Saccharomyces cerevisiae S288C: one gene and its partners. The protein of the gene in region 4 purifies or fractionates together with the protein of the main gene of each other region. This does not show direct contact. Each region holds a gene or a part of one and is shown on either strand. Other genes may lie near its edges. The genes, in order: QNS1, HSP104, URA2 and CPR6.

Region 1 (4,666 bases), on a different chromosome or scaffold from region 4:
AATGACGCTGTCGATTGGCACGTTCAACACGCGTTATCGAGATTGAGGTCAAGCGCCGAAATTGCTATACCAGCTTTATTTGCTCCGCTCAAGTCAGGGAAAGTTGTCAGGATAACAAACCTTAAGACCTTTAGCCCTTTCTGGGACACATGGTTTACCGATCTGTCGCACTCCTTTGTTGGCTTACCTGTTAGTAAATTATTAATATTGGCGGGAAACGAAAATCTCGATAAAGAATTAATTGTGGGGCAAATGCAAGGTAAATATCAGTTGGTAGTTTTCCAAGATTCCGGGCATTTCATTCAAGAAGATTCGCCTATAAAAACAGCAATCACTTTAATTGATTTCTGGAAGCGGAACGATTCTAGGAATGTAGTAATCAAGACTAATTGGGGTCAACACAAAACCGTGCAAAATACATAAGGGTTAAATATCACTTTTATATCTTTATTTATGATAGAATAAATAACAGAATATATGAACTCGTGGAAAAGTCTTATTTTGCTGTGAGCACTTCTTCTGTGCTAATCAATAGACATAATGTCAAGCGTTGAGCCTTTATGTGCTTCACACTGCTCGACAACTTCATCAATTTTTCTTGAAGCCCATGGAAATCTTGGGTTGATTAAGAAAGGACGTAAGTCAAATCTGTTGTCTTCTGGTGAATACTGTTCAGCATGATAACTAGGAGTTAAAACAGTTTGCTTGTGTCTGTTGATGGCATAGAAGAAGAAAAATCTTTTCACCTTTTCAGATATTTGACGAGGTGTTAACTTTGGGGACCATTGATGAAGAAGTTTTAAGAACATAGAATAAGGACCACATTTTTCAACCTTTCTTAGGTAACCAAACACGCCCAATTCTTCATACGTCATCCCCATATCTATCTCATCCGATTGAACGTAATCTTTAGTCATAGGTTCTAATTCTGCAGTTGGTGTAGCGTTTAAAAAGTCATTCAAGATTGGCATGTTATATTGTTTTGATGCGTAGGCAATGAATCTTTTCAAGTCAGTTTTTGAAATACCCCCAATAGGGTTGATATCTGCGGAGGAGCAGTCATATTTTGTTAGATACCCACGTAAGCACTCATCAACATTTGCGCTACCAAGTACTAACAATCCACCCGAGTTTGGGATACCACGAACCCACGGCAACAGTTGCGCAAAAAGATAAGAAAGAACCATTCTTAGACGCGCCTGGATGTTTTGTAAAGCCAAGTTCTCGATTTGAGATCCCCCAAATATTTTGTATATTGGTTTTTTGCCAGTGGCTACTTCGAATAAGGACACCACACTGGATACCAATGAGTCCATCTTTAAATCCACGTGGTAAGATCCAATTGCATTGGAAAGGTCCTTTGCTCTGTTTCTTGTCTCCTTGGATGAATTTTCCGTACCCATGAAACAGGAGTGAAATATTTTTGAGGCTAGATCCTGTGGACTGTCTGGAATCCAATCATCGCCGCTACGTGTTATCTTACGAACGTCTTTGATAACTTGCTCATTTCCATTTTGAGCAGCGTCGGTCACTAAACGGCACATAGAGTGGACAATCATTGCAGTTGCACAAGAGTCAATGCCCCCAGATAAGGGAAGGAAAAACCCTGTTCCGTTACAACGTCTTAAATAATCCCACATCCAGCAAGCAGGTCCCAGTGCAATTTCTTCCTCAGGAGAGTGATAGAAAGGCTCGCGGACTTTTGTTGGACACACTGTAGGATCAAATCTGGAGGTCATTAAAGCCAATTCTACAGGAATATCAATACGCTTGAACTTTATTTCTGCCAAGGAGGCTTGTAGGCCACGAGACATGACAGCTGCACGATAACTCCTCACCTCTTCTAGGTCCACAGTAGCAGTAACTACTTCCACATCATCTAGCGAAAATTGTGAACCTTGGGCTACAATTGTACCATTGATGGCAATTAGTGCACAGCCATCATAATATAATCTGTCACCATCACAACCTCTTTGATTTGCATACAAGTAAACACCACCACAACGTTTAGTGGCATTTAAAATTAGGTCTAACCTTTTATTTAACTTACGCAGTTCATGATGAGAACCAGATGAGTTTGTCATGATTTCCACACCATCTAAAGACATGGCGATGTGGGGGGATTGAGGTGTAAACAATTCTTCACAAGTTTCTGTACCAATGCATGTATCCAATGAATTTATCACAGCGTCCCCAAATGGCACAAGTCTCTGGCCGGTAACTTTCTGAATCTCAGGTGGAAGGATAAAGTCCTCCACCACGCCAGGTTTCATCCAAGGTGTGAAAAATCTCATTTCCCTATAGTTACCATCATTAGCTAACCAAATCTTAGGTCTTATGAACAATATCTCACCATCCAAGGATAACAAACGACAATTATAACGAACATTCTTGTGTAGAACGGGCATACCAATGTCAAGTATTAATCCATGGGTTTCTTTATTCTTAATGATTTGAGCATACATTTCCCATGAATGAAGGCAAACGTCATTTTCTAAAAAATGATCTAAACATCCGTAGCCAGTTATTTCCAGTTCTGGGCCGACACGTAACCTGGCACCCCTCTCTTTGGCAATCTTAATGGACTGTAGGATACGGTCTCTATTACCTTCAAAATCTAGGGCCCATTGATTCAAGTTGCATGTAGCTAAAGTGATAAGATGTGACATTACTGGCAGGGAGTCAAAAAAAGAATGCCAGGGTATTTGGGGGTATTTTTACAAGCAATATCAATTGATGATGTGAGCATATAGTCTATTTTGAGGTAACCAGTTGATAATCTTATATTTCCCTTCCATATTCCTCTTTATCTTTTTCGACGAAACTATTGGGGCCTCTTGATATGACTTAGCAGGACATATAAAGGATAAGATGTTCCAAGCTATGTTATCTTTGACAAGTTTTGATAGCAATAGACTTTCAATTCCAAATTTAGGCACCTTTTGTAAGATCCTGTGTTCGTAAACTTTTCTTCAAAAAACATGGATCTAACTGACTGAAAGAGTTCATTATCTTTCAATTATGTGATGAAATTCTATTGTTTTTTTCAAGTTTTGCAACTAATCATAAAATAGAATGTTTTTACAGTCAAGCAAACAAAAATAGTGTAGAACTGTTAATATAAAATTAGTGTGAAAGATTGATCAAGAATTTATAAAGTCCTTCATGTTGTATATAGTATACTATACATGAACGCATATACAAGTAATTTGTGTGGATGATCATTAAAGATGGAAAATAAATAGAGTACAAAGGGGGGAAAAAAGTTCACTTGATGTCATCAAGGCATTCACCAGAGTTGAGAAATATCAGACCAATCATGCTTCTTTCTTCTTTCCCAATAACTCTTCGGTCCAGTTATGTATTTCCATTCATTCTTAGATACTTTTTCGAAATATTTAGGCTCCACATCTTGCCCTTTATTACGTCTTTCACGTTGAAGTTGTTCCAATTTCAGCTTCCACTCTTCCGCCTTATCAACATTTCCCTCCTCGTAAGCTCTAATATCTGGTCTTAATCTTGAGTCCGTAGGTGGTAAATTGCCCTTTTCAATTTCAGTTATCTCATTCAAATTTGCGGTGAATTTAGTAAAGCCATATTTCTTCTTCGGATTGCTAACTAAATCACCTACTTCCCATATAGTTTCATGTGTAGTTTCATTAGCTAAACTCTGTGTCCATTTACCAGCTAGAGTTTCCTTCTTGCGATTGCTCGAAGGTGGTGGGATTATCGAAACCTTAAATCCTTCAGATCTTCCACTAAACATACCTGCCTTATCGAACAGGATGTGTGATTTGTCTCCCTTCGAAGAATGTACTTCGAATTCGTTGACAGGCTCCATATATCTCTCACCCGCTATCAAATTTTTTAAAATAGTTGTTGGTTGCGTCCATTCAAATAGTTCTCCAGTTGTCTTAAACTTCAATCTCAGTATACCTTCGTTATTCAATTCAATAGACTTACCCCAAAACTTTTGCGATGGCGTTACAGTGTAACTACACTCCCAGTCGAGATGCTCTGCAAAGAAGGCAAATACTGGAGGACGATGTGAGACCTTTTCCGATATAAGCCTAAACCCCATATCTTCTCGTATAAGTTCAAATGTTTCAGCCAGTAAAGGATTAAAAGGCTTTCTTAGCGTTCTTGTTTTATCCCTATATATGGAAAGAAAGGAAATAGCAAATGCAGAAACAAAGGTTATAGGATCAGGACGTTGGGTAGCCTTCGTTAAAAGTGGAGCATACTCAAATGTTTCTGATATCAACTGCAAAATAGAAATAGGCTCATTTGAGGTTACTGGCATGGCAATAGAGCTCAGATCTTTGCCTACATTCTTTCTCAAAAAAGATAATAGGCTTGGCGGAGAAGCTGCAGCTTCAGGTATGTCATTACGGCGTGTAACACTCTTTGGATAGGAAAGAGCAAACAAATCCTTACTTGTAAATGTTTCTGTTGAGGATTGGGCGCTTTTGGTTTTTTGATGATGAGGGTGGCCACGGCGACGATTTTTGTGACGATTTTTGAGGTGTTTACGGCTATGATTTTCATCGTTAGTTGTATAGCTCTCCACACTTGATGAAGCTATCTGTTCGGATCCCGACAATTGGACCTCTTTTGTGAACTCATTTTGGTCACTTTTACCAAGAAGGGGAGTTTCCTCGACTAT
Region 2 (5,225 bases), 480 kb from region 4:
TAACGACATAGCATTATAGACACTGTGCAGCGTAAAGCTGACATATAAAGAAATTACAAAAAAAAATTAAAAAAAAAAAAAAAAACAATCAAAAAAGACACACAACTACAGAACAAAGGAAATCTTTTTCTATGCACAAGCACAAGAGTACTTAGAGAGTAGTGATATCCCCTTTTTTTTCTACTATTTTTTTTTTTCCCATTTTTTTCCTCCAAGACTCCTCTTATGTGGTTGTTATGTATAGCCCATAGTTACTAAATAAAACACTAATTAATGATTAATAATCCCTCTCTAATAAGAAATAGATAAAAGCTATTGTTCTTCTCATCGCCGGTTCTCGGCGTTGTCCGTACCCTTGGCCGAAACTCGGGCGGGGGCTTATTAGTCATACCCTCAGATTTCATTGGTCAGATAACAGTCACCCGGTAAATGCCCGTTTAATGACTTCTTTATTTTGGATTAAAATTGACAGGGAATTTCAACGGAATAAAGGAAAGAGATTGAGATGCTTTTAATTCATAAAGGAAAGGGAAAGAGGACAGGAAAGCAAGGAAGAGTAATGGAATTTTGCAAATATTTGTAAATCCTTTAGAATTACTAAGAAACTGTTATTTATTGACATTATTTTACTCGTCTTATTTATTTATTTATACATTTGGCCACCATTTTTGCACTCGTACGAAAGACCATTTTAGATTTTTTTGATTTGGTAGTATAACAAACGATCGGAACAATAACGTAACATAATGATAAACACAGGAAGAAGCAGGAATTCAGTACTGCTGGCACACAGATTCCTTTCAACTGGAGGATTTTGGCGAGGCGGTACGAATGGCACAATGTCTCGCACAATCAACAACGTAAATCCTTTCAAATTAAAATTCATACCGAAGACAGTGCCCGCAGCTGCAGACTCTGTCTCTCCAGATAGTCAACGTCCAGGTAAGAAGCCCTTCAAATTCATAGTTTCCAATCAGAGCAAGAGTAGCAAGGCTTCTAAAAGCCCGAAGTGGTCGAGCTACGCATTCCCTTCGCGTGAGACCATCAAATCTCATGAGGAGGCCATCAAGAAGCAGAATAAAGCTATAGACGAGCAAATAGCTGCTGCAGTATCCAAGAATGACTGCTCTTGCACAGAACCTCCCAAGAAAAGAAAGAGGAAATTGAGACCAAGAAAGGCGCTGATCACCCTGAGTCCGAAGGCAATCAAGCATTTAAGGGCACTGCTAGCTCAGCCGGAACCTAAATTGATTAGAGTTAGCGCTAGAAACCGTGGATGTTCAGGACTAACGTACGATCTACAATATATCACCGAGCCGGGGAAATTCGATGAGGTAGTAGAACAAGATGGCGTTAAAATTGTCATCGATTCAAAGGCGTTATTCAGCATCATTGGAAGTGAAATGGACTGGATCGACGACAAGTTGGCCTCTAAGTTTGTCTTCAAGAATCCAAACTCCAAGGGCACATGCGGTTGTGGCGAGAGTTTCATGGTTTAAAAACCTTCTGCACCATTTTTAGAAAAAAAGAATCTACCTATTCACTTATTTATTCATTTACTTATTTATTTACATATTTATCATACATATTAACATTGAACCCTCCATCGTGGTAGTGTTTGCTGTTCCTAACTTTTCTTTCGTTGTTCTTGTAGATATATATTTTTCCAGAATTTTCTAGAAGGGTTATTAATTACAATCTTAAACGTTCCATAAGGGGCCGCGATTTTTTTGTTCAATTTTCAACAGGGGGCCCATCTCAAAGAACTGCAAATTATATCACAGTAAAAGGCAAAGGGGCGCAAACTTATGCAACCTGCCAGATTATTATATAAGGCATTGTAATCTTGCCTCAATTCCTTCATAATTCGTTCCTTTGTCACTTGTTCCTTTTTACCCTTGAATCGAATCAGCAATAACAAAGAAAAAAGAAATCAACTACACGTACCATAAAATATACAGAATATATGAACGACCAAACGCAATTTACAGAAAGGGCTCTAACGATTTTGACGTTGGCTCAAAAATTGGCTTCGGATCATCAACATCCACAATTACAACCTATACATATTCTAGCTGCCTTCATTGAAACGCCAGAAGATGGATCAGTCCCTTACCTACAGAATCTAATTGAGAAGGGCCGTTACGACTATGATCTTTTCAAGAAAGTGGTTAATAGAAATCTAGTAAGAATTCCTCAACAGCAACCTGCACCTGCGGAGATAACTCCAAGTTATGCTTTGGGGAAAGTCCTTCAAGACGCTGCTAAGATTCAAAAACAACAGAAGGACTCATTTATAGCGCAAGACCATATATTGTTTGCTCTATTCAATGATTCGTCTATTCAGCAAATATTTAAGGAAGCTCAAGTAGATATTGAGGCCATCAAGCAACAAGCTCTTGAACTTCGTGGTAACACTAGAATTGACTCTCGTGGCGCTGATACGAACACACCTTTGGAATATTTATCAAAGTACGCCATTGATATGACTGAGCAGGCTCGTCAAGGTAAACTTGACCCTGTCATCGGCCGTGAAGAAGAAATAAGAAGCACTATTAGAGTTTTAGCAAGAAGAATTAAGTCCAACCCATGTTTAATTGGTGAGCCAGGTATCGGTAAGACCGCTATTATTGAAGGTGTTGCTCAAAGAATCATTGACGATGACGTTCCCACTATCTTACAAGGCGCTAAATTGTTCAGTCTAGATTTGGCCGCATTAACCGCAGGTGCTAAATACAAAGGTGATTTCGAAGAAAGATTCAAAGGTGTTTTGAAGGAAATCGAAGAATCAAAGACTCTAATTGTGTTATTCATTGATGAAATTCACATGTTAATGGGTAATGGTAAGGACGACGCTGCTAACATCTTGAAGCCAGCTTTGTCCAGAGGCCAATTGAAGGTCATCGGTGCCACCACCAATAACGAATATAGATCTATTGTGGAAAAGGATGGTGCCTTTGAAAGAAGATTCCAGAAAATTGAAGTCGCTGAACCAAGTGTGAGACAAACAGTGGCCATATTGAGAGGTCTGCAACCAAAGTATGAAATACATCATGGTGTAAGGATTCTGGATAGCGCCTTAGTCACTGCTGCTCAATTAGCCAAGCGTTACTTGCCATATAGAAGATTGCCAGATTCTGCTTTGGATTTAGTTGATATTTCTTGTGCTGGTGTCGCCGTCGCAAGAGATTCTAAGCCAGAAGAATTGGATTCCAAGGAACGTCAATTGCAATTGATTCAAGTAGAGATAAAAGCTCTAGAGAGAGATGAAGATGCCGACTCCACCACTAAAGATAGATTAAAGTTAGCTAGGCAGAAGGAAGCTTCATTGCAAGAAGAATTGGAACCTCTAAGACAACGTTACAATGAAGAAAAGCATGGCCATGAAGAATTGACACAAGCTAAAAAGAAATTGGATGAACTGGAAAACAAGGCCCTTGATGCTGAACGTAGATATGATACTGCTACCGCCGCTGATTTAAGGTACTTCGCCATCCCAGATATCAAAAAGCAAATCGAAAAGCTTGAAGATCAGGTTGCTGAGGAAGAGAGACGTGCTGGTGCCAACTCCATGATCCAAAATGTGGTCGATTCAGACACCATTTCTGAAACAGCTGCAAGATTGACTGGTATCCCTGTTAAGAAGTTGTCAGAATCTGAAAATGAAAAATTGATTCATATGGAACGTGACTTATCATCTGAAGTCGTGGGCCAAATGGATGCCATTAAAGCTGTTTCCAATGCCGTTAGATTGTCTAGATCAGGTTTAGCTAATCCAAGGCAACCAGCATCCTTCTTATTTTTAGGTTTGTCCGGTTCCGGTAAAACTGAATTGGCTAAAAAAGTTGCTGGATTTTTGTTTAATGATGAGGACATGATGATCAGGGTCGATTGTTCTGAATTAAGCGAGAAGTATGCGGTCTCTAAGTTGTTGGGTACCACGGCAGGTTATGTCGGGTACGATGAAGGTGGCTTTTTAACTAACCAACTGCAATACAAACCATACTCCGTTTTGTTATTCGATGAAGTAGAAAAGGCACATCCTGATGTTTTGACTGTCATGCTACAAATGTTGGATGACGGTAGAATTACTTCTGGTCAAGGTAAGACGATCGACTGTTCCAATTGTATTGTCATCATGACTTCCAATCTAGGTGCTGAATTTATCAATTCTCAACAAGGATCAAAGATCCAAGAATCTACCAAGAATTTGGTCATGGGTGCTGTTAGGCAACATTTCAGACCAGAATTTTTGAACAGAATTTCTAGTATAGTCATTTTCAACAAGCTATCTAGAAAAGCTATTCATAAGATCGTGGATATTCGTTTGAAGGAAATTGAAGAGAGATTCGAGCAAAATGATAAACATTACAAGTTGAATTTAACTCAAGAGGCCAAGGACTTCTTGGCCAAATATGGTTATTCCGATGATATGGGTGCACGTCCACTGAACAGGTTAATTCAAAACGAAATTTTGAACAAACTGGCACTAAGGATCTTAAAGAATGAAATCAAGGATAAGGAAACTGTCAATGTCGTCTTGAAGAAGGGTAAATCTCGTGATGAAAATGTTCCTGAGGAAGCTGAAGAATGTCTGGAAGTTCTACCAAATCACGAAGCTACTATAGGGGCTGACACGTTAGGTGATGACGATAATGAGGACAGTATGGAAATTGATGATGACCTAGATTAATTTAATATAGTGTGATTTTTAAAAACTTTCGAACAAGAATCAGTAATATAATATATATAATTAATAAAACTAATGGAATTTGTTTAATTGAACTTGACACCCGAGCAAAAGAGCTCACATTTTAACGTTTAGTTCATCTTGCTGTGAATAATCTAAAAGTAAACAATGGACAAAAAAGTCCACTGGACGTCAAATCTTTTTTTATTGTATTTGGGACATATGGCGTTGATAACTAAAGTTTAAAGGAAGTAATAAGTGAAGGTTAAATCTGGACCTCTTTACTTTCATATTAGAAGTATAAAACACACGCGGATTGGTCCATTATTAGAATACGGGTACTACAATAATGGTTTTGATAGTTACTGTACATTTGAATGTAGCGACTCATATGACTCATATATATGACTACCAAATCATGTTAAAATTAGTATATCTTTAACTTAGACTTCAGTACTATCTGAACTGCACGTTTAAATTTTTACCATAGCAGTTCATGTAATATTAATAATCACTTGTGCCAATATAATGTTAC
Region 3 (7,748 bases), on a different chromosome or scaffold from region 4:
AGACATTTCTTCTGAATGACGCATGACAATGGCATCACTGTAACAAGCCAAAGTTCTGATAGTATCTTGAAGGGTTTCACCTTTCTTGACAGAAGACACCAATGGATTAACATTTACAATTCTACCACCCAAACGTTCCATAGCAGCAATGAATGAAGAACAAGTACGAGTAGATGGTTCAAAGAAAATTGTAGTAATAACGTGGCCTTTCATTAAATCTAAGACACCTTCTCTTGCGACAGCTGCCCTTAGTTCTTGTGCAACAGCAAACAACACATGGAAATCAGAACGTTTGAATTGTTTGATAGACAATATATGTCTTCCGCGGAATGGATTGTTACTACGGATCAAATTCTGGATGGCGCCTGGAGCAACAAGTTCTCTTGGTGGCCTTGAAGACATCAATTTTTGTTCCAAAGGCTGTTCTGGAATTGCATCCTCCGCGGCATCTAAATTATCAGCGATTGCTTCTTCCGTGATCGAGAACCTTCTTTTAGCACTAGTAGATTGGAGCTCTGCGGAAGCAGTTATGGAAGCTGGACTTGGATTAACAATGCATTTTCCTTTGGCGCCTGGTGAAACTAATTCACCGCTCAAAACTAATGTTTCGCCATTATAGACAACACGCTCAATACCACCGTTCATATCTTTGTTGAATGGTGACCATCTCTTATTACGTCTGAAAGAATAATCCAAATCAATTTCGACAACTGAGTCCTGAGTAGGGATGTTGAAAATTTTAGCGGGATTGTCATGCAGACGAAGGACGATATCATCAATGGTTAATTTACCTTCTTCAACAGCAGCCAACAATAGTGGTAATGAATCTTTGATACCCATACCAACATCAACCTTGTTACCTGTGACATTTGCCAAGGCGACAGGAAGAGCACCGACAGAGAAAGCATCGATACTATCAAGGTTGTTCCAGAAAAACTCTTGATCTTCCTTAGTAGGCAAGAAAACTGCCTCCGGATAGTCATCTTGGGCAATAAACAAAGAATAAATATTGACATCACAAGTCACTCTAGGGTCTTTTGCCTTGACCGTCATGATCAAAGCTAAATCTTCCTTATTCGAAACACCAGTAATGTGAATAGATCTGTTTTGAAGGGAGGTTAACAATAAAACCGATGCCAAATCTGCAGTTTTAGCTTCTGCAATCACTTGCTTTTCAGTTGGCCACTGATTCAGAAGTTCAGCTACTGCTGTGATCTTGTTCTTTAATTCACGTAGGGGCAAAAACAATGCTGTCACTTTGCTAGCAGATTGCGTAACACTATGAGCATTGTGTGCTGTACCAGCAATAGTGAAAGAAAAGTCAGTGTAAGATGAATCTTGGGAAACAGAGTTTGCGGCCTTCAAGGATGCAACGTCAGTAATAACAGGTCCGCTGATGGATCTGGGCATCAATTGACAGTATGTAAAACCGGATTCCAAAAATAGACGTGTGGTCTCCTTCAGTTCAGCTGGGCCTTTGATAACATGGGATGCATTCGGAACATAAGTTGCGATATTGATTAAACCAGGTAAGGTAATAGTTCTGTGGGAAGTTTGTGCATCACGTTCAGAAACATCTAAAGTGATATTTCTTGAAATGGCTTCAATCAACAATTTTGCACATTTAACGTTAGTAACCAACGGAACCGAATAATCGACAGCCAAACGACGTGTTTTATACCCCTTTGAAACATAGGATGCAGGACGACGGAACCTGTTGGCAGAAGGCAAGTTGATGTAAAGGTCAATTTCATTATTAGCCAAATGTTGAGTAAGTGAGTATTCTGATTTTTGATCATCATCATCCTTGTTTAAAACCTCCAGATATTGGACGGCAATACCATGTTCAGATAAAAAGTCAGCAGTACCTGATGTTGCAAATAATTTATATCCCATGTTGTATAGTTTTTGTACGGAAGAAAGCAATTCTTGTTTTTCCTTGTAAGAACCAATAGACAATAAAATATTCTTCTTTGGAAGTTTGAAGCCGGTTGCCAACAAAGACTTTAAGTATGCTTCATACTTCGAGTGGCCAAAAGTAGCGACTTCACCAGTAGAGGCCATTTCAACACCTAAGACTGGATCAGCTCCTGCTAAACGTGGGAAAGAGAATTGTGGTACTTTAACGGCGACATAATCATCTGGTAATTTTTCAACAGGATAAGGCGTCAAAGGCAAACCCATTATGGCCTTTGTTGCCAATTCAATCAGATTGACGCCAACAACCTTTGAAATGAATGGGAAAGATCTCGAAGCACGAACATTACATTCTATGACCTTGATTTCATTGTCCTTTGCAATGAATTGGATGTTGTATGGACCTGTAATTTTCAAAGCCTTACCAATTTTAGCAGTGGCGACAACAATTCTATCCACAGTTTCAGGAGCCAAATCTTGAGGTGGAACGATTAATGTTGCATCACCCGAGTGGACACCTGCATTTTCAACATGCTCAGAGACAACATGCATAACCAATTCACCATTTCTTGCAACTGCATCCATTTCAATCTCCTTTGCGTTTTCAATATATTTAGTGATAACAACAGGATAATCACGTGAAACTTCGACGGCTTGGTTTAAGTAGGATTCCAAATCGTTTTTAGAATAAACAGTATTCATGGCGGCACCGGATAACACATAAGATGGACGTACCAAAACTGGATAACCCACCTTTTCGGCAAAAGATTCAGCTTCGTCCATGGATGTCAATTCTTTCCAAGCTGGTTGGTCAACACCAATTTGATCCAACATACGAGAGAACTTGTAACGGTTTTCAGCAGAATCAATCATGTCAGGGGATGTACCAAGAATCTTTACATTTTCACGATGTAAAGTCATGGCGATGTTGTTGGAAGTTTGACCACCCATTGATACGACAACACCGCTTGAGTTTTCAATCTCGTAAATATCCAAAACTCTTTCAAGGTTGATGGTTTCAAAGTATAGTCTATCAGCCTCATCATAATCTGTGGAAACAGTTTCTGGATTATAGTTGACCATGATAGTTTTGATATTGTTGGCACGTAATGTTCTAACTGCAGTAACAGCACACCAATCAAATTCGACAGAAGAACCGATACGGTAAACACCAGAACCCAAGACCATAACACCGTGGTCATCAAAGGATAAATCGTGTGAGTCAGCATTGTATGTCATGTATAAATAGTTCGTGTAAGCGGGGAATTCAGCGGCAACTGTATCAATTTGTTTGACAAATGGTGTAATTCCATATTCTTTTCTTAATCTACGGATGGCAACTTCGTTGGAATCCAAAAATCTTGCAATCTGTCTGTCATCAAAACCTAACTGCTTAGCCTGTCTTAAAACTAAGGAAGGTAATTCCTCTTTAGTACCAAATGAACTAATTTTCTCAGCAAATTGGACCAAATCGTGCAGTTTGTTTAAAAACCACTTATCAATTCTAGTCATTTCCCAGACTTTATCAACAGAATATCCCTTCTTAGCAAAAGCATTTGCAATGGCGAAGACACGCATATCCGTAGGGTTGTTCAACTCGTAATCAATGTCGATATCTAGATCTGTCTCATTGAATCCGAGGTTAGCATATTCTGTGGATCTGATAGCTTTTTGAATAGCTTCTTCGAAGGTTCTACCGATGCTCATAACTTCACCAACAGATTTCATTGATGAAGATAATTCGGTAGAAACTCTGGTGAACTTCTTCAAATCCCATCTTGGCATTTTGACAACACAGTAGTCTAGAGAAGGTTCAAAACAAGCACATGTGGATTTTGTGACGGAATTCTTAACTTCATTTAATGGGATATTCAAACCTAACTTAGCCGCAGTGTAGGCCAATGGGTAACCAGTAGCCTTAGAAGCTAAAGCAGAGGAACGTGACAAACGCGCATTAACTTCAATGATGCAATAATCCTTAGAAACGGGATTTAAAGCATATTGGATATTACATTCACCAACAACACCTAAGTGTCTAATAACATTAACAGCAGTAGTTCTTAACATATTGTAATCTTCATCAGATAAAGTTTGAGATGGGGCTACAACGATGGAATCACCGGTGTGAATACCTAGTGGATCAAAATTTTCCATATTACAAACAGTAATACAGTTGTCAAAAGCATCACGAACAACTTCATATTCGACTTCTTTCCAACCTTTCATAGATTTCTCGACTAAAACTTGAGGTGAGGATGAAAATGCAACATTACATAGATCAACCAATTCTTTTTCATTATTAGCGAAACCGGAACCTAAACCTCCCAATGCATATGCAGCACGTACAATAACTGGGAAACCGATCTCCTTGACAGCGGCCAATGCCTCGTCCACTGAATTAGCAGCTTGAGATTTCGCACATTTTTCATTAATTTCGTCAATGGCATTACTGAAGAGTTCACGGTCTTCCGTGGTAATAATAGTATCGATTGGAGTACCCAATACTTTAACTCCTAACGCCTCAAATTCATCTTTCATGGCTATACCAACAGATAAAGCAGTTTGTCCACCAAATGTCACATAAATGGCGTCCGGCCTTTCATGTAAAATAACTTTTCTCACGAACTCTGCAGTAACAGGAACAAAATAAACCTTATCAGCCAACCCTTTCGAAGTTTGGATGGTAGCAATGTTTGGATTAATTAAAATTGTATAGATACCTTCTTCTTTCAAAGCTTTGATGGCTTGAGAACCAGAGTAGTCAAATTCACCAGCTTGACCGATGGACAAACCACCAGAACCGAGAACTAGAACCTTCTTCGCTTCGATTCTAGGGTGTGCCTTAACGTTATCCTCTAATAGGCCACCTGGGAAAGCGATTGGTTTCAACACTTGTGTATACTTGAATTCTTTAACTGCTTGGATAAAAACGTCAAACAAGAATTCTGTATCTCTTGGGCCAGGTGTGGATTCTGGATGGAATTGGACGGAAAAATAAGGTAATTCAGAATGATAGATACCTTCGTTAGAGTCATCATTCGCGTTAACAAACAATGGCTTCCATCCGGAAGTTAGAGTGTCAACATCCACAGCGAACCCATGGTTTTGAGATGTTATGTAACAACGACCACTTATAGTTGATGTACAAGGTATGTTATGACCACGGTTACCAAATTTTAGTTTTAGGGTGGATGCACCGGCAGCTCTTGCTATCAATTGATGACCGAGACAAATACCGAATACTGGCGTCTTTTTAGCCTCCAGGACATTTGACAATCTTTGAGATAGATCATCTAGAACAGATGGATCACCTGGACCATTTGAAATAAACAGACCATCATAATCTTCTTTAGTGAAATCGTAGTTCCATGGAACAACTTTCAATTCTACACCCCTTTTGATAAAACAACGAATTTGATTGTATTTCATACCCACGTCAATGGCTAGAATCCTTAAAACTTTACCATCGGGTCCGGTTTGCAATTCGATGTGCTTATTGTCTGCTGGAGGAACGTACAATTTAGGTTCATTGATGGAGACCTTAGAAACTAGGTTTTGAACATTTGGATCCACCCATTCAGGAACATCAAACGCACTTCTCCAAGAGGAAGATCTGGAGATGGTTCTGTCAGAGCCGCTTTTTTCCAAAGACAACCTACCCAACATTGAACCTGCATCTCTCAAATGCTTGGTCAATGATCTTGTATCAACACCATAAACAGCTGGGATCCCTTCATTTTGTAACCATTTACCTAAGGAAGATTTAGCAAGATAATGAGAGTACTCGTCGGTATAGTGAGAAATAACTAAACCGGCAATATGGATTCTATTACTTTCAAAATATCTTGGCAATTCTTCGACCAATTCATCTCTCAAGTGCATATCTGGGACACCATAATTGCCTACCAATGGGTAAGTGATGACTAAGATCTGGCCTTCATAAGATGGATCGGTCACAGATTCAGGATAACCAACCATACCAGTTTGGAAAACTAATTCACCAGCGACGGATTTCTCAGCACCAAATGAATAACCTTGTAAGACCGTGCCGTCCTTAAGTTCCAACGTAACCAGACGGTCACCCGTAGATTCCATTGGAGGGGTGATTGGAGCAGTGGGAGCAATAGTGGCCATATTATGATTGTTATATTCTATTAGGTAAGGTTTATGTGTTGTATGCTGCAATTAGTTATGGATTTCTATCGTCGTTAATATTAATGTTAGTAATTGTTGATCGTTCAAGCCAGATGCCGATATAAAATCAGAACTAATTGAAGAGATTGATTTGCTTTCGTGCCATGAAGATCTCTATCAATTGCGATTCTTTTCTTTTTTTTTTCTTTCTTTTTTTTCTTTCCTATTCCAGGTAATGAAAAACGACATCATCGCAGAGTCAAACGGCTTCTATTTTCCACGCCCAGATACTAAAATACGCGCCCACTGATATTGCGACTGGCATCGCATGGTCTGAATAGATGGCAACATTAAGGCTTCTCAAAAGTAATCATAAAAAACATACTCAAATTTGAATGCTAACGGATTATAATGTTTCCTTTTTCTTTCAATTCAAAGTTGAACGTGGTGAGTCTTTAACAAAAGAGTAGAAGTATTTATAAGTTTTTTTGGCTAGATATAGCGGTATTCCTCAATTCTTTCTCAAGTGCTTCCGTAGAGAAAATGTTCAGGAAACCTTTTGTTTGTGGTTGTTGTCGACAGGTTTTTTATTTTCTACAATCAAGAATAAGATAAAAATACAAGACCATTAGGAAAGACGATAATTTGAAAGAAAATTGGTGTAGTTAAAACATACTAGATATGATATTATACTAATTGAGCAAAATAGAGAAGGAAAGAGAGGATTCTCTCTCTGAGTAAAATCGATGAGTGGGGATTTTGTCAAAGTATTTATACTTTTTGTCCATACCATTTGTCCTACTTTTTTACCGTTTTTTTTTTTTTCAAGGCCAGGGAAAAAAGAGTCATTGCGTTTGTGTGACATTTCTTTTAATATTCATCGGAGAACACCGGCGGGCCACAGAGAAAAAAAAAAAGTCCATATTCCATGTACACTGCAAATAACCAAGATTTTTCATTTTTCACGAAAAGAGGGACAATGTACTAATGGCGTTGACGATGACGAAAGCACCATTTTGGACATTGTATGTCGTACATTATCGTAGAGAGATTCGGTTGTCTTTAAGGGACCGAAAAAAAGAAAGAAATCTTAGGACATCAGAAATGTACGTAGGCAAATGTATATCACAATGTTACTAATCAAGGTTAAAAAAAAAAAATCCTTTTAATGCTTAATTACCTTCTTAAATATTGAGTACGAAAACCTATTTCTAAAGAATGAGTATATATGTTAGAGCGTTGTGCTGCTCCTTTTAGGATTTCGGGAATGTGTGGTCTTACGCTTAAGAGCTCCCCAACGATGTTTCACATCAGTGAAACTTCTCTTGAAATGTTCCGTCATTGGGTCTTCTGTATTGGTTCTAGCCTGTCTCTTCAATTTCATGCCCTCAAGGTGGTCAATATGTTCAAGTCTATCACTAGGCAAGATAATTGCACGATCCAGTGAGTATGGTAGACCTCTATTCTTGCCTCTGATCAGCATAGCTATGATCACCAACTTAGATAATGTAGTAAACTGTCTTGAAAACGATTGGTTGGTGTCCGGATAACCTAGCGATAGCCCAACTGTACCGTAAGCGCTAACAATTTCAAAAAGAATTGCAAATATATTAAAGTTTGGTTCTTGTACGTCCTTTATCTTGTCCCCTTCACAAATGCAAATGATAAATAACCCTAAAAATAGAAACCACAAGTCA
Region 4 (3,319 bases):
AAATCTATCAATGGCTCAACTTCTTGGACAAATTCGGTGGCGGTATCCTCATCGTCCTCCCAATCACTATAGTCATTATCTTCATTTCTTATTATTTCCTCGGTGTACACAGACCTGGAGTTTTCCTCTTGGGGTAGCTTGATACCGTCTTGTTCCAAATATTGAATAAATTTTTTCGGTAAGGATTTTAACACTATGGATTTTGGCACATATTTGGGATACAGTGAGGACCAAAACGAGTAAGAACAGTGTTCAACCTGCGCTCTTGTCACTGGTATATCTATAAAAGTTGTATATTCTTGTGAGGACATCAATAAGTAATTTATGTCAGCGCTTTTTGGACGCACGTTTTAGTTTCACTGGTGGAGTTACGGTATCATTAGCTTCTTAATCTTCCCACTGCATAAATGGACATCGGAAAATATCCGCTTATTATGCCTGAAAAAATAATTTTTTTAACAGAGTTTTCTACGTACTTTTTACTTAACTACTGAGGCAGCGCAACTGTTTAGTATTTAAACATATAAGCATATATATAATGCAAGTAATCAGGAGAACATCTTCGAAAGAGACTTTTTAGCTTTTTCGTTTTGTTGCTTTCTTTTTAATTTAGTATTATGAATAGCTTTCAAAATGGCAGCGTCATTTGGCTGGAAAGTAGTGGCCATTTCTAGGTCATTGAGAGCCATATCTGTGTCATTAACATGGTAATAGGCCAGGCCACGACGGTACAAAGCTTTGGCCTTGGCTTTTTCGTCAGCCGCTTCGGCATATAACACCTCCGATGAGGCTACTAATACTTGCTTGTAATCTTTTAATTTAAGAGCACAGATGGCAATATTCAATGGAATAGACACTTTCAATTGATTGATTTTTTCAATTTGTTCCTTCTCCAAATCTTCTGGGAAATACTCTTTCAAGAATTTATCACATTTGACATATTTTTCTAAAGCCACGGAATAGTTCTGTTTCTTGAACTGTTCAGTACCAATGTTCTTTACCGTTTCGATAGCTTTCAAGACGGTGTCGAAATTCTTCAAGTCAACTTTTTCGTCTTGTTTTAAAACATCTTCATAATTATCGCCGTACTCATCTGTTGGTGTAGCTTCGGCATTCTCTGGCACTTGATAATCGTCAGGTAACACGCCACAGTCATCAATCTTTACATCACGCAATGGCTTGTTGTTTTCTTGGTCACATTGTTGGTTTTCAATCAAACGAACAATTCTTTTACCTTGAATCACTTCACCAAACACAACGTGCTTCCCGTCCAAATGAGGTGTAGGAACACAGGTTATGAAAGCTTGAGATCCATTGGTATTTGGACCGGCGTTGGCCATGGATAGAAGGAATGGTTTATCATGTTTAACAGTGAAATTTTCATCCTCGAATTTTTCATCGTATATGCTCTCACCGCCAGTACCATTAAAATTGGTAAAATCACCAAATTGACACATGAAGTCTTTGATCACTCTGTGGAAAATGGAACCCTTGTACGACAATGGTACATCAGGTTTAGTCTTTGCCATACCAGCATTTCCTTCACACAACTTCAAAAAATTTTCAGCCGTTTTAGGCACTATGTCATTGTACAACTCAAAAACTATACGGCCTTGGGGTTTACCTCCAATAGAAATATCAAAAAAAGTTTTAGGTCTAGTCATTTTTACTCCTTGATCGCCTGAATATTGTCTTACCAGTTTTCTATGTGATGTGAGCGCATCAGCACCTCTGATATTCGACTTATTTAAATAATTTTCTGTCTGAACTTTCTCCAGCTAGGGCGGAAAAATATTCTAGAAGCTCATAGAAATGCCGTTCAAAAGCGTAACAGTTATGTTCTATAAAGGGAAACAATGTGTTTCGATCACTGCAGCTGTCTATTATATACAAGTTATACATCACGACATTTAGATTTTCATTTCTTCTTTTCCGAATCCTTACTGGTCGTCCCATCCACGTCCACTGTGCTTACGCGCTCTCTATTACCATTCTTTTCCCAACACTTCCTAAATAACGCCATCTCGTTGAAGCACTGCCTCCAGTCACCTGTTTCGGCATGGCACAGCTGTAATGCGAGGTTCTCTACGTAGCATCCGGTCTTGGATATTCTCGTGTCCCACACATCCGGGTCTTCGTCTTCTTGGACCTCTTTGTATTCTTCCAGCGCCTGCTTATAATACTCTGAAGTTTCGCCAGTTTCACTCATGACCAGTCTGCCAGTTTTAGCCTGCCAGAGCTTTTCTTTCCCTTTAATCTTCCCTTGTTTGGCGCAACTCTTAGAAGTGCCTTTCACTACCTTTAATGGCTGAGGCCCCTTTTTTTGTTTCGGACATTTGTTGTGAGAAAAAAAAGAAGAAAATAAAAGCATAAATGAAGCGAATGGATGAGAAGAGGGGAGGGAAAGCAAGAACGAGAAGGACAAACATCAGGGACCCATACTTCAATAAATTGCTTGATTTGGTGTTAATCAATTCTTCTAACATCAAACCTCTTTTAGTTTCCTTCGATCGTTTCACGTTGCTTATATTGATTGCTTTTTACTTCTATTTTTTCACTAGAATAAACAAACAAAGACATTCTGTTGATCAAGAAAGTTGAAAATGGTATTTGGTTTTACAAAGAGGGACAGGAGGGTACCTGATTTATCTAGGTATGATTACTACTATCAGAACCATGAAGATTATAACAAAAGTCCTCAGCTCTCTGCTGCTGCTGCCTCTGCTGCTTCTGCCGCATCACCGGATCGAACCAATTACTCAAGGTCGCACTCGCTGGTTAGTCATGCACCTTCAATACCGAGACAAAGAAGTTCGGTAAAGAGCCCAGGAAGAAGGCTTTCCACATCCTCTGCCGCTCCGCCAACGTCCAGGGCAGCAGCTAAGCAGTATTCACAGAAGACTTACTCGTTGAGGTCGCAAAGGAGCGGAGAGTACCATTTACACCCGCCCGGTTATACTACTAATGGGAGCCGTATGAATTCTATGACGTCTGGTGCGAATGTCAGAAGAAACTACGGTAAGAACAAATCGACGGCCGGCAACAATAACGATTCAAGGGCCAACTCCATTACCGTAAAGACTACACAAGTAACAGACCCTTCAGGAAGGACTCAATCAATTACCAAAAAGACAATAAGAAAAATAAATGGGTATGAATACGTAGAAACCACGACTACGACTAAGAATTTGGTTCCATTAGGTGACTCGCAGCGTCATTTCGATGAATTTAGTGAAAATTACATGTTGCAAGATGACGACATTTTAGAGGAACAAGCTAGTGATAACATTCACGATATAATCGAGGAAAACGAAACAGA

What was found.
Region 1: the proteins of CPR6 (region 4) and QNS1 purify together in Saccharomyces cerevisiae (affinity purification with mass spectrometry, with the first as the bait; 2 studies listed by BioGRID). This does not show direct contact.
Region 2: the proteins of CPR6 (region 4) and HSP104 purify together in Saccharomyces cerevisiae (affinity purification with mass spectrometry; 3 studies listed by BioGRID). This does not show direct contact.
Region 3: the proteins of CPR6 (region 4) and URA2 purify together in Saccharomyces cerevisiae (affinity purification with mass spectrometry; 5 studies listed by BioGRID, with this or other methods). This does not show direct contact.

Annotation. Positions count from the first base shown.
Region 1 is NC_001140.6:244,196-248,861, reverse strand, and holds QNS1 (glutamine-dependent NAD(+) synthetase), read right to left. Parts: upstream 2,670-4,666; coding exon 525-2,669; downstream 1-524. Other genes in the region: PPE1 (phosphoprotein phosphatase methylesterase 1), read left to right, coding at 1-423; oxysterol-binding protein related protein OSH3, read right to left, coding at 3,290-4,666.
Region 2 is NC_001144.5:86,657-91,881, forward strand, and holds HSP104 (chaperone ATPase HSP104), read left to right. Parts: upstream 1-1,966; coding exon 1,967-4,693; downstream 4,694-5,225. Other genes in the region: Fe-binding Fe/S cluster assembly protein ISA1, read left to right, coding at 747-1,499. UniProt on the Saccharomyces cerevisiae protein: Required, in concert with Hsp40 (YDJ1) and Hsp70 (SSA1) and small Hsps (HSP26), for the dissociation, resolubilization and refolding of aggregates of damaged proteins after heat or other environmental stresses.
Region 3 is NC_001142.9:166,317-174,064, forward strand, and holds the start of URA2 (bifunctional carbamoylphosphate synthetase/aspartate transcarbamylase), read right to left. Parts: upstream 6,052-7,748; coding exon 1-6,051. Other genes in the region: TRK1 (Trk1p), read right to left, coding at 7,283-7,748. UniProt on the Saccharomyces cerevisiae protein: Multifunctional protein that encodes the first 2 enzymatic activities of the de novo pyrimidine pathway: carbamoylphosphate synthetase (CPSase; EC 6.3.5.5) and aspartate transcarbamylase (ATCase; EC 2.1.3.2).
Region 4 is NC_001144.5:571,548-574,866, forward strand, and holds CPR6 (peptidylprolyl isomerase CPR6), read right to left. Parts: upstream 1,665-3,319; coding exon 549-1,664; downstream 1-548. Other genes in the region: cell proliferation protein CDC123, read right to left, coding at 1-311; COA4 (Coa4p), read right to left, coding at 1,919-2,371; MSC3 (Msc3p), read left to right, coding at 2,604-3,319. UniProt on the Saccharomyces cerevisiae protein: PPIases accelerate the folding of proteins. It catalyzes the cis-trans isomerization of proline imidic peptide bonds in oligopeptides.